Oreochromis niloticus: one gene and its partner. The protein of the gene in region 1 interacts with the protein of each later gene in a pairwise test. Links are inferred from orthologs where the notes say so. Each region holds a gene or a part of one and is shown in the gene's direction. Other genes may lie near its edges.

What was found.
Region 2: the proteins of spdef (region 1) and nkx3-1 interact in a two-hybrid assay, tested with the Homo sapiens proteins (2 studies listed by BioGRID). The link is inferred for Oreochromis niloticus from reciprocal best matches to the Homo sapiens genes SPDEF and NKX3-1.

What each region holds. Positions count from the first base shown.
Region 1 is NC_031970.2:9,855,114-9,862,803, reverse strand, and holds the start of spdef (SAM pointed domain-containing Ets transcription factor), read left to right. Parts: upstream 1-4,542; 5' UTR 4,543-4,915; intron 4,916-7,690. UniProt on the Homo sapiens protein: May function as an androgen-independent transactivator of the prostate-specific antigen (PSA) promoter. Binds to 5'-GGAT-3' DNA sequences. May play a role in the regulation of the prostate gland and/or prostate cancer development.
Region 2 is NC_031977.2:13,889,060-13,895,762, forward strand, and holds nkx3-1 (homeobox protein Nkx-3.1), read left to right. Parts: upstream 1-4,801; 5' UTR 4,802-4,857; coding exon 4,858-5,086; intron 5,087-5,331; coding exon 5,332-5,729; 3' UTR 5,730-6,007; downstream 6,008-6,703.

The sequences.
Region 1 (7,690 bases):
GGTTTAGATTCACAGATTCTAAATAAATTAAGTGCATGTTTAAAAGCAGAGATTTGGTCCGTCAGGTAAGTACAGTTTGGGAATATATGTTTGTTTTCTGCAATTGTTATTGATGTTCATAATATCACTTTGTTGTCTATGTTGCTGCAAAACCTTTTCTGTGTGATATGTCTAATCAAAAATATATTTCATATTTCTCTGACAATATTTTGGGAGCCTTTTCGGGTCAAGGTACAACAAGTGTGCTAATATTATTTTCAAGCCAGGATTTGCATAAGAAATCATAAAATACTCATATTAGTGCAAAGTATTATGTAAAAGCTGAATAAAACCTGTGCAATGTTAACATTTAGCACATAGCTGTCAAGTAATAGGGAAATATGAATTATTTGGGGGATTGTTTCACCTTGTGTTTTTTTCTATGCATGAACTATAAAAACAAAGTCCATGCAGTCATCCATATGAAAACATTTTATTTATTTTTTATTTGTTCATCTTGTCTGTGCAGTAGGAAACAAACAGTGGACTAACTTCACCAGGTTATTTATTTGTTCAGAGAAGTTGTTGATATTGCTATTCAGCAGTATGTAATAAATGCAATTGAGTGCCACTTTAAATAGTGAAATGGATAATTGAATGCACTGATTTGTGTTCATGAAAAAAAGATCTCGGTTTGAACTCAAATATAGTGTTTATGGAGTTCCCTGGATCATGATTTACATCTGGGACTGTCATAAAATACAAAAATATGACTGCTCCATCCAGCAGTGCACTATATGTGGCTACTTAGTGAATTTTAAGGCCTTCACTACTCTGGACCAGCAGTAGTCCAATTACTTGGAATTGTTAGTCTGTCACTGACCCCGCTTATCGGTTCCACTTGCACTTATCCACAGCTGATTTCAGTTCCCGTGGCAGTCTGCAGAGTGGATGTGGACACTTTTATTACTTTTATTTTTATTGCACAAAAGGAGAGAGTGGGGTGGTTAAGTGCAAACTGCATCCAGGACAGAAACAATCACTTTATGTTGCTAACATAACTTTAGCTTTTTGCAAGCACCTGCACAGACAGCATGCTAATGTTAAGCTATCCAAGAAGCCAAAGTAATGCCAAACCTGAGTGAATGCCGACCCCTGCCCAGCAGCCAGCCCCTCAACCTCAACAGGTAGCAAACTGATAAGCAGTCAGGCTGCAGCCGCGTTTTCTACCTGTTCATGTTTCTAAAGCAGAATCACTGTGGCGATCGCCTAGAAGTCTCTTTGTGCTGGTTTCCATCTTTGCTTTGTGCTGTCGGCTTCATACCTAAATACTAAGAGAAAGATCGTATGTGTACCTCATTAGGATAGGAATTTGTGTTGACCAGTGGGATTGTAGCTTATATGTTTATATTGTTTAATGGTAATAATGAGACAATACATTGTCAGTTAATGTAAAGAGTAGTTACTTTCTCCTGGGAGTAATTAAGTACTCCATTACTTTTAAGAAAACTGTTCTGTGTAATGCATTAGTTTGTAGATGCAGTTAATTTGCATGAATGTCTGATATGCTCCTTAGCGATGGCGATGGCTGGAGCCAATGAGAACCCAGTGAGAATCGATAAGTGATATTGATAATTGAATTGAAATTGCTAAATTCTTATCAATTGCCATCCCTACTTGGTATGAGCTGTTTGTGGTGCATTTTCTTCTGCATTTTGGTTATTTCTACCCAAAGGACATAGTTCCAGAAGCCTTGTAGTTTATTCTGATGCAACTATCAAACCAAAGCTGTGCTGTCATGTTCTTTGTAGAGAGAAAAAGCTTTCTTCTGACAGCCTCTCCAAACAAGTCATACTTGTTCAGTCTTTTTCTGATTGTACTGTCTTCAACATTTAGCTAAGTGAGTCCTGCAGATTCTGAGATATAGCTCCTGGGCTTTTTGCCGTTTCTCTGATTGTTGCATTATCTGATCTTGGGGTAAATTTGCTTTTACGTCCAAACCTGGGAAGAGAGTCATGTGATTTGAATCTTTTCCACTTGCGAACAATCTCTCTCAGTGCAGAATGACGAAGGTCAAATTGTTTGGAAATTACCTTATAACCCTTCTTGGATTGATGGGAAGTAACAGATGTTTGTTTAAGCTCACTGCTAAAACCTTTCCCCCTCAGCATTGTGTTAACAGACATCTGAATGTCCCAGACCAGCAAACTGACAAAATTTCTGCTTTTATGGAGGTGCTCGCACTTGCTGATCGTCAGTTAATCATGTGAACGTGATTATCAGCAACTGGCTGCTGCTTACCCTCTTAATTCTAATGGAAGCAGTAAGGCTTTACTGAGGCTTTTACTAACTGCTTTTGTATTTTAGCTTAGTCTTTGTTAAATAAGACAGTTTAGTATGTCATATGTCGTTGTTCCTCTAAGGTTTTACCTAATGTAAGAATTAAAACAGGTGTACCTTCTTTTTCACGTGACTGTACTTTGGTGATTGCCATTGAATAATATAATAATAAGGGGGAAAAACATGATGATAATGAAAAACAGTATTCAGGAGTTAAAAAAATGACCTCCAGCTCTGTCGGTTACATTGTGAAAGCCCGGCACACCCACACAGGTGTTATGAATTATTTGGGTTTCATGATATCTTAGCTGAGAAACCACTGTTGAAACTAAGCAGATTATCACAAAGGAATAATAAGTAAATTGTTAAGAAAAACAAAGTTTAACTGGATTATAAATTATAACATGGCATTAAAGAAGAAGAATGACTTGCAAATAAACTCGGGTGAGTAAGAGTGATGTCATGTCCACGCAGTTTGAAGAAGATATCTAATGAGGACAAATTGATGAAAACAATGGTGTTAATGTGCAGAATCTTTAAATTGTTGTTTATAGGGACAGTAATAACAATACAAAGGAAAACTGCTTTTGAGAGGTTATTTAGAGAGGTTTGTATGTTTTAGGCTTAACCCTCCCATATGACAACTAAAACCACTTTCATTATTCAATCCTTTTAAACAAGCCACAAGAAGACCCCGTCTCAAAGAAAGTAGGTTTTGGGAGGAAAGCGTCAGTAATTTTTTTGCAAATAGTTGTTCAAGTGGAAAAACCAGACATGTAGTGGAGAGCAGTCTGAGTTAGAGAAATGGTAAGCCAGAATTATTTTACTATTCAATACCCCTCTTTCTGCAGCTCAGTGGAGAAACACAAGCAAACACTAACTGTAGGTAATATTAAATTTCATTCTGCTGAAGCATCGTATTTCTTCAGTGGATGTCTGTGCAAATATTCTTAACACAGAAAAGGGTCTAATGTTTCTTTTGGGTTTCTTACACGGAAATGATTTTAGAAGCAAAATGAAATATCACACCAGCTTTGTATGTGAGCACATGAGAACGCTAACATGTTAACATCAAACTGTGACTTGTTATTGTAATGGTTAATATACAAACATTATTATCTTAAGTGTTTAGTAATTAATGTTTTTGTTTAAACAGCATCTCCTTCCATGTTCTTGAGTAGACAGTGAAGGAAATACTCAGATTAGTGGTTTACATTGAAGTGACACACATTTAAAATCTCACTTAATTCGTGGTGACTTAAAACATATTACATTAAAAATGTTCTTACAGTATAACCAATAACAGCAGTGCTGCAGAAAACAATGAGTCATTAAGTATGGCATTATTAGATTTTTGAGAAGAAGCAGCTGTTTATTATCATCCATACTAGGGACAGGGGTTTGCTAATATACTTTATATCAAAGACCAGCATGTTCTGCAAAGTCTGGTTTTGAAACCTTGAGCCCAGTATTTTTCCTCTCATTATCATTGCTGTTTAAAACTAGATGTCACAAGTGAGGCGTGAATCTGGCATGCATGGTGCACTTATGTTGGCAACTTATCACTTACCTCAAGCTCTAACTTCCTTGTGATGACAATCAGGACTACAATGTACAAAATGAACAGCATGTTGTTTTCAGTCAGCCTTTGAGCTTGCATTCAGGAAAGTGCTCACTGAAGCCATGGGTAACAGAAGCCAATGACTAATTATATTTATAGACTTCTCTACAAATGGACATGTTTTAAAGCTACATTTATCATTTAAACTCTGTGAGTTTGTGGGATAAATTTACTACTCACAGCTCAGACATCTATAATAATGTGTTTCCTATTTTTAACATAACATGACATAAAAATGGTAAGTTTGTAAATACAGTCTTCAAACAGTAGGGAAGTAGAAAGCAGGAGTACAAAGAACAAAAACCAGCAACAAATGGAAACATGATAAAAAAAAAAAGTATACTTAACTAAAGTGTTGTATTTGGCTACATAATCACTCACTTTAAACTGTAATTTTTAATTATTTATTTAATCTGATCACTTTCAGTTCTCTCTCACCTAAACACTAAGGTTGGCTCGCAGGGTTTGAGGAGGTCTGAGCTAATCAGCAAAGACACACACACACACACAGAGGGAGAGAGAGAGAGAGAGAGAGAGAGAGAGAGAGAGTTGTCTGCATAAGTAAACATGGCTGCCTTATAAATATAAATTGCAGTCAATGGAGGTGGAATTCCTTTGCACTCACTCACCCAGCCACTAGTCCTCTTGGCTTCACTTTGAACACACCCGCAGCAGGTGCTTCCACTTGAACTAAGTGTGCAGTTGTGTTTTAGGCTGTGACTTTCAGGTTAAGTGTAATTCTGCCAAAACCAAAAACCAACCAAACAAACAAACAAACAAAAAAGCCTGGGAAGATTTGAGGAGACCTGTGTTTGGGGCTCAGTGACAGTCATCAGCAAGAAGCCGACTGAAGGTTGCCCGCTGCCTGTTGCGCCTCATCTTCAGGCAGCAACCGGCCACTGGCTGGAAACAGCACTGCATCTGCCAGCATCCAGTCAAGTCATTGACTCAAGAACATCAGAGCATCATTGCTGGGTAAGAAGTTGCTCTCTTAAACAAGGTCTTGGATATTTCTGTAGCACAATCTTATTATAGGCCCATTATTTATAGGACATATGCTGTATATCTGAGATATGTGTGTTTGTGTGTGTCTATAGTTTTCTTAGTAGTCTTGAACAGTTCGTTTAACCTAATTAGTAACATCCAGAGATTTTGACTCTCAGTAATTAAAGGGAAAAGTTTAATTATTAAATACATCCCCTGTCTTAATGTGAAAGTTAAGAGTAAAAATATTAAAAAGAAACATTCAGACATTCCTGAACCAACTGCAGATCAGATTAAGCAAATAAATAAATACCCAGTCAAATATAAAAGGAAAAAAGAGACTGAGACCTGTTTTTCTTCTTTCATAAATCTCATGCAAATCTGAAAGTTTCCATTCAGAAAGGAAATATGCAAAATGTGGTCAGAAAAAATGCTGTTGTCAGTTAGGTACCATAAACCACAGCAATAGACTGACTTTGAAACAAACCAAAAAACCCAACAGATTTCTTTCTGCTGTCACTGTGGGATGAGACGGGGGATTTCACTGTGGTTTTAATCAAAGGTGGAAATCAAATACGACTGCAACTACCTGAGACAGAAAGAAGAGAAATTCCAAAGAGGAATAACAGAAGCGGATTGTTTGTTCTGTTTCTTCTATGGGTACAGGTGCATTTATATTCCTTTTCATGTCAAGCTAATCGATTATTTTTCAGAGGCCTTGTGACCTTGTTAGTATGGAAATGTATGAAATTACTTTTGTCTTAAGAGGTCTTACATTTTTAAAGCCAAAGTTTAAATGTAGAATCTATATAAATCTTAACAACCCTTTTTAATTCATGGCACAGATAACAAGATAGCACAGATAATCACACGTAAGGCATAACATTGTACAAACAGTGGGGTAAGAAAAACAGAAAAGACCTTTCTATTCCCCCCAAAGTTTGCTTTTCTCCCTTCATCAAAATATATAAACCACATCTCCTGATAATTTCATGCAATACTTGGTTACTTGATTCAGGAGGTTTGGTATGAAATACTGGGGCAGGTTTTTACACAATCAAATAGTAGTTCTTTCCTGGTTGTCGGACCAGGTCTGAAGTCAAAAGTGTTTTTAAAGCTTTGAAACAGATATCGTATCATATAAACACAGAAATAATGGCACACAATTTCATAGCTTTGCAATCAGTACACGTGAAAGGTAACAGTGATGATTGTGTAAAGAATGAACAAACCCTAGCTCCTTTTTCACTTCCATTGGGGGGGTGAGACCTGACTTCTCATGAACAATCTGCTGCCTCTGATCGCTCAGGAGACTCAAAATTATCCGTGATTCTCTTCTAAAGAAGCACACACAGTTTGCTGACAGTTATTTCAGATTTGCAATAAGTTTCAAACTCCGCACAAGTTAAAAAATGAAATTATATAAACAAAAAGTAAAAGATTAATGTTCCCATGAACTGGTCATATGCAAATATGAACTAGTTGCATCTAGAAAAAACCAGTTGATGGTTCAGCCAAATCCTCTACATATGCCCTGTTAGACGTACAGGATTTGTTCCTTGTTCATTCTTACATGTTTTTCTCTTCAGTGACTTCACAGCCCATTTCCCTCACACTTGCAGGATTTCAGTTATGTTGGGTCAAGTGCGAAATTTTCTGATAGTTTCTGTATTTTTTTCTTTGTTTCTTTGTTTTGTTTTTAATTTTATTCCTAGCATTTGAAAGTTAAACAGAGTGCCTGTTTGCCAGCGTGTGCTATGATCTGATAAAGTTATGAGTAGTGAATTGTGTCTCAAATAACATATATCATCACACTTTGTAAGGCAGCTGATGAAAAGGGTCATCCTTGTGTTTAACATTTAAAAAACTGGGTTTGGTTTTTTTTTTTGCTTGTTTGATTTTTTTTCTTTAATCTTGTGATGATTTACGATTTAAACCCAGCGCTCAAGAAAACGCCCGAGGCCACGTAGCGGCAGCCCTTATATCTGCCTTTGCTAGAACAGTGACAGGTTTATTTTTTTATCCCATTTTCAAGTTCTCCAATCTTTAGGTCCAACCCCAATTAAATGAGGTTTATTACCAGCATAATTAGCTCTAAGTAGCCTCTTTGTCAAGATTAATTTAGACCAACATCAAAGCCATTTTCCTTGGATATTGGCTTAATGCCTGCACACCTGACTAACAGCAGATATGAATCACCATACATCCCCTAGCAGTGTGGGTGGTTGGAAAAATTTGTTAAAAACAGAGTTTAATGGGATCAGTATTATAAGGCAGTGTAGGTACAAGCACACGAAATAAACCTTTATTGCATTTCATAAAATAAGCACATAAACTGAAGCTAATTTATAACGTGAACAGAGCACCTGCACATGTCACTGCTGCAATAAAAATTCCCTAAGGGAGCAATCTGCAGATCTAAATCTCCTCCTCCAACCAGCAGGCGTTTCTTTGCAGAGCAACAGTCATACTAAGTAAGAAGAAGATGAAATTCCTTCCGTTTTTCTCTGAACAATGACTTCATGAGTGGGTCCAAATTTCCCATGAGGAACAATAACAGGGAAAAAACAGGGGGTGGGGGAGTGTCACATGGCAAACAGTCACTCTTGGCTGTATACGCTTCTTTAATACCAGACTGAAACACTACCAGCATAACACTCAGTGTGTTTTGATTATGCCTTGATAGATGGCATCAGATCTAATCTCTGACCTTTTCTCTTTTTTTGGTGCTTGAATGGATTCATCCAAGTTAAACAAGACGAGACA
Region 2 (6,703 bases), on another chromosome or scaffold:
ATCTGTGTGAGATCAGTTTTGACAGACAGCACACGGAAGCATCATAGGTGCCAAAAACCTTACACATAGGTGTGTAATATCTTTACTTAAAATTACTTGTATTTGTAAACAGACTTCAGTGAACACGATTTACAAAGGGTCTTTATATACAATTTAAAAATCAGTTGTTCAAGTATCTTTATGACTGTGTCTTATTGCACCTATACATTATAACCAATCCGGTCTTTTTTGGCCACGTAAATATTGTTTACAGAACTATTGTTATATTTGTTGCCATTTCTTCTTCTTATTGGCCAGATTACTCTTAAAAAGACATTTTTAATATTAACGAGACGTTTTTATCTGGATAAATAAAGTGCATATATATAAAAGTCACTTTGCCAAAAACTGATTGCGGTGTCTACCTTGTGACAGGAATGTTGTTTGTGGCTCAAGATGGCTTGATATCATTCATGAATGACACATTTGGGATATATTTCACATATTATATGGCAACAAGTTATTTATAGCAGTTTAATTACGACCAATCACTGTTTGGCAAATACAAAAATTACAAATATTTTAATGTAGTTAGCACGGTAAAAACGGATTCAAATCAAATCCATTACTTTTGGCTTTTCTTTATAAGTGTGCATTTTTAAAACGACTAATGTTGCGTGAGCTTTTCATAAAAATGCAAACTCCACAAATTGACCAGTGCAAAATGAACGCGTAAAATACCCACAGTGCCCTCTAATGCGGCAGCAACAAGCAATGGGACAACCAATCCTCTACCTCTATGTAGTCTATCCTTAAGTATAAAGACATGCAATATGATGACTTCATATAAAGTATGTTTTAAAAATAGGTTTAATGTACTAAACTGCTTTTTAATTATTCGGTTTTTTTTTTTTTTTAAATTTCTCCGTGACTTTTGAGTGGAGCTTTAAAAAATAAAGAAAGAAAAAAACTTATTATATAAATTTGAAAGACTTTGTCACCCAGTTTTCCAGGATGAGCTCAAAAACGACAGCGTACCTTGTTAGGAACCTTTAAGTGTAACTGGTTGTGGCGTTGTCGTCTGCCGGGTTTATCAAAGAGAGCCATCAAACAGCTAATGGATGAAGTGACATCTGACCTGACAGCGCTGCTCTATCAAAACTCAGCTCATTATTGCCCCATTCACAAATCCGCTGATAAGGCCGGAGAGCTTGTCCTGTCCCGGGGCTCTGCTTGGTAAACAAACCCGCAGACAGAGTGGCTCTTTAACTTTTTCAAACTTTCAATCAAGTGGGAAACAGTTCCAGTCTGACGTGTCGTGTATCGACGAGCCACAGGCAGGTGAGCGCCAATCAAACCCCCAAACACAGATTTGTGTAAAATAAAATTCAGTTATTTTTGATCATTAAAGTCGTCTCTTTACACCTCTACAGTAATAAAGTGTGGCATTAATTTAAAATTATAAAATCATAACGTCAAATCCATCAGAGATATATTTCAACGCGACTCGTTCCGCGTCAAAATCACTTTTATTTTATCACGTGATTGGAGGAAAAATGGGTTTGTGTCATTTATTGCGCGTGAACGCAGAGAATAAACACCTCTCAGAGAAGACACACGGGCTGAAGGAGCATCTCTGCATAGATAAGGATGAAGCTGTAGACAGAGAGGAGACCAAGAGAGATCAGATAATGACTCTATGTGTGCGTGTGTGTGTGTGTGTGTGTGTGTGTGTGTGTGTGTGTGTGTGTGTGTGTGTGTGTAGAAGGGCTTTGCAGAAGTTATGTTAATGGTGTATGCCTTTAAAATGTAACTTTAAAAATATATATAGGTCTCATTCTTCTTAATAACACCAGTAAATAAATACATTTTATTATAGATCACGTGTAGCCATAACCTTTGGTGTGAACTATTTTAATTTTAATTTAGAAGCATAAAGAAAAGCCTTAAAATGACGTAACCCTGTGATCTCATGACACCGTAACCGTCTTTCAACTGAAGTAATTGGTTAGATAAAGATTTTTTTTAAATGACATTCAGCAACATCTCACTAATGAATAGTCAAATCTGTGTCTTTTCAGAGAGGAAAACTGTGAGCTCATGCGCAGTACCTGTGCTTTGTTTTGAAAAGGTGGAAAGGGAGTTTTTCTTTTCTCCTCGTCCACATAAAAGGTGCTTGATTACACTGCTTGTGATGAGGGGCAGTTTAAATAGAGAATGACGTGAGTCTGACCATCGCTTGAAGAGACATTATGGTTTCCAAAATCCACAAAGGGTTTAAGTCATGCTGTGGTTAGAAAGAAAGATGCGTCCCTGACTATGTCAGAGACTTCAAATGTCAGTGTGATGATGAAATGATGAACTGTTGTCTATGATTGCGCAGGAGCTCATGCACATTGCAACAACTCGCCTAAACAAAACTAAGAAGCTGTTGAATTTTGTAGCTGAGCTGGTTGTAGACGAAATAACAGTCCATGGTACATAATCCCTCTCCTTTAAAGTAGGTGTCAGACTGGCTTTAAAGCTCCCTCTAGTGGAAAACACTAGAATTGCATATACATAGCGCAAAACTATCTCACATAGGTCAAAGATAAGTTACTTTAATTTTCCCTTCACTGAATTTGGAGAAGAAAAAAATGGTTCATAGTTAGTAAATTCAGAGTAATTGTTTCTTTATCATTTACTTTTTTGTGCAAACTTTAAACTGACCTGTTCCCTCTGATGACATATTGGTTATGTCACACACTTTACAAAGAGGATTCTTGTGCAACAGCCAGTCGTAGGGTACAGTATAAAACAACTCTGATGCTGAGCAGATAAGAAGACAGAATGCTGACAAATCTGCTGCTGCGACAAGTCCTCGCAGTCATCATCTCAGATAATGAAACAGCAAGAAAATAACAGAAGATTGATGGCACAAAAACTTTTGGTGGCTCAAAGAAAACATCGTCACCACTGCACCGGGGAGGACAAATGCCTTTCTAGGCTGAAAGGTCAGCAGCTCTCTTATGTTACCTCTGATGCACATCTAGATAACCATGCCATGACTGTCTAGGACAGAGTGATTATAGAGGGAATGCCATTGTTCGGAGCAATCATGTCGATTGTCACAGAATAAGGGTGGTGGATGACTGCACAGAGTCTTAAAAGAACCACTTCAATCGTAGGACTTCCCCTCCCCACACAGCCCAGGCGCTCGCTGTCCATGCTGACCTTGTTTTTGCTTATGTCATCAGACAAGTATGTGAGGTTTCTTATTCTGTCAAGCATCGTTATAACCACAATCAAATGTTTTTTAGATGGTGAAATAAAAGTGACATATGCCTGAAATAAATGCAATGTATGCATTTCTAGTAGAAAGTCATTTTGCACACAGCTGTAGTGTGGTTTCGCTTGGTTCCACGTTCAGTACAGTATGATCCAAAAATAAACGTAAGGAGTTTTACGAGGAACAAACCAACTATGTCTAGACAAAAGTGGGATTTTCTGTGCTTACAGTTCAACATACTTTAACAGGCAGACGGTCGCATGCAAAGATTTCATGGTGAGACAAATCAAACATTTAATCTTAATACGCTGTTGACAAGACAGCAGGTAATGCAAACGAGGAACCTCAAGAGATTACACACAGATAGCTTTCATAAATGATTATCCACAACACAGGAAAGAAAGTGACAGACATGACTTAGTCTGGTGATAATATTTATCTATATATTAAACATATAAGGCTGTATATTCATATACAGTGTATAATGCATACAGTGATGCAGTTTAAGTGCTGCTGATAATAGTAGCAGCCATCAGTGTGATGTAAGTGTGTATTTGGCAAAGAGAAGCTGGTGGAGTCAGCGCCATCAGGGGCCACGGAGAGGACTGTGTTTGTCATACCAACATTCACGCATTTCCAAATGAAGCATGAAATCCCAGAGCAACTCCGACACCGCCTGTAAACATCTTAGTGGACGGAGAAAGGTCAGGCCGGACTGCAGAGAACAACAAATAAACAGCCGTCAAACAATGAGCGTGTCCATTCAGGAGCCGGCCTAAATGTGTCCAACTCATTAGTGCTTCAGGAGGCATGACCACCCACTCTGACCCCAGCCACTGGCCCCCACCCACCCCCGCTACTGGCACATTTGTCTCGCTGAAGCCAATGGGTTACAATACTGAGCTGATGGAGGGCTCACTGCGAGACTTTTTAGTGTGTCTGGAGCAGGTAGCTCTGTCCCTCCTTGTGGACTCAAACTTCTTCCACAGAAAGACTAAACACACTTTGTGAACATGCAATGCTTGCTTTTCTGATACAGGTTTATTGGCTAAGTTTGGATGTCACTCAGTTATCTCTGGTAGGAATAGATCATAGCTAAAAAAGTACATTGCCAACATGTACCCATTATATTTTTCTTGTACAGAAATGAGTTTCTAATCATTTTGTTTGAGTTTAGATCACATATTAGACACCTTTCTGCACATGTGTATAAGTAGAACCACACCAGACTGTTTTTCCATTTAAACATAAAAGCATGCATAAAGACACCTACAAATATTTAAATTAATCTTTTTACAATCAACCTAAAGTTGTTTTTTTTCTTTTACACGGACATGTTTGAATTTTTAAAATCTTTCTCTATACAGATCACTTCTAAAATAAAAAGGATGAGTACTTCTTTTTGTATGTTTTTATGGACTTGATATATTGCAGCAGAGCTGAGTAGGAACCTTGAATGAAAGTTAGTGAAAGTAGAAGTAAACTTTAGCCGTCCCGCCTCCTTAACCCGTCTGTGCAGTCTGAGCCCGCCCCTGCCATTGTATAAATTCAGACTGTGTAAGTGTGTGAGGACTCACAGTGCTTCAGCCACTTCTCCCACTGCGCCTCTGATGCACCGAGAGTCCTCGGATTTCTGGAATTACCGGCTGGAAATGTCTGACTCGGCCAAACCACTGACTTCCTTCCTCATTGAGGACATCCTCTCCAACAAGGACAGCGCGCGATTTAATGATAAATGCTGCTCGCAGAAGGAGGAAAGATGTTCGCAGTGGAATGAAGAACCAGGAAAGTTTTCACCACATTTCTGTCTTCAGGAAACAGCCTTTGGATTACAGACAGGTGAGCGTCTGCAGGCTTCCAGCAGCAGGGTTGCTGTGCTTAGATAAAGTGACCAAATCTGTTTGATGTGTGTTGTTTACTGTGAATAATGTGCAGAATGATGCAGAGTAACAACAAAAGACTTGCTTTAAAATTTTAATTTGTAATGGCAGCTGCTTATCTCACAATGATCACAAACAAGTTCACAAAGCCTGCTGTAAACCAGTTTACCTGTTTAACGACTGGATCTCATCTGTGCTTCACAGAATCTCTGGACACATCGTGTCCCAGCTCCTCAGAGTCAACTTTGCCCTCTCCCGGAAAGCAGAAGCGCTCCAGAGCTGCGTTTACACACCTCCAAGTGCTCGAACTGGAGAAGAAATTTAATCACCAGAAATACCTGTCGGCCCCAGAGAGAGCTCAGCTGGCCAGAACCTTAAGACTAACCGAGACCCAGGTGAAAATCTGGTTTCAGAACAGGAGGTACAAAACGAAGCGGAAGCAGCAGACATCAGAGTTTTGTAAGGATTTGTACAAAGCAGAAGGACTGGGTCTGAAAGAGGATTCGGTCAGATCATCACTGATCACTTCCTTCTACAAAGCCTACCAATACAGACCCTACCTGTGGGACTACAGTGGCCCCTGGGGCCCAGTGTTATGGTGAAAATAAATGTATAACTATAAAGTTTATCATCTCCGAGCTTCTAAAATCTATGTTCACTGTCACAGTTGATTCTTTGTCAGATTTGGAATACGATGTTTGCTCATGTGTTGACTTTATCCATCTCGTGGAGTGAGTTCGCTCATGAAAATGTGCTATCGTACAAATCTTGCTGTATGGATATGACATGGGTTTGCACAGCCAACTTGTGACATTGTTGATTAATAAATTATTAATAAATTAATGCTTATACATTTAACCTTTGTTAAGAGTGCTTATTTTTTAAAAAAAATGAAAATAATAATAATTTGGTGCTTTGGGGAATTTCTGATCTAATTACAGGGCAATGTTTTGTAGAAATGATCAAATATACATTTACCACAGTTTGTATAAAAGCTGTGTGGATGACTTTCAAACAGTCACTCTGGCATTAAGTGTGAGGTTAAAGTGAAACTTTCTGCTGAGTGCTCTCAAGCTGAAAAAATTTCGAGCATTTGCATGAAGTTAAACTCTGATAAAATTGCAGTTGGTGTCAATGAAGGCGAAAGAATGAGACCTGACTTCTTCAAAGAGCTGATGCCCTGATTGCAAAGAGATAAACTGCTCTTTCTAGAGACAGCACCACATGGAAAACGAGTGGAAACAAAACAGTAAGAGAGTCAGCTAAGCGAATCATTTTTTAACATCACACATTCCAGATGCTTAAACATGCTGACATAAATACAAATACAAAGGCTGGCCAAGAGGCATCTTTGTTTAAATCAGAGATAAACGGAGCTCCGTGAGGCATCGAGTTCAATCAGCAGTTGTCAGCTTTGCTTTCTTGAAAGCGGGGCTTGACGAGGTAAAGCTGTCATGTGGCTCACCTCCTGCATGCCACGGTGATTGTATAGTATACCTGGCAGTTGGTAGATAATAAAGTAAGAGAACATGTTTCTTAAGGTATGTTCTGTGCGATGTATAACAATAAGCTAGGA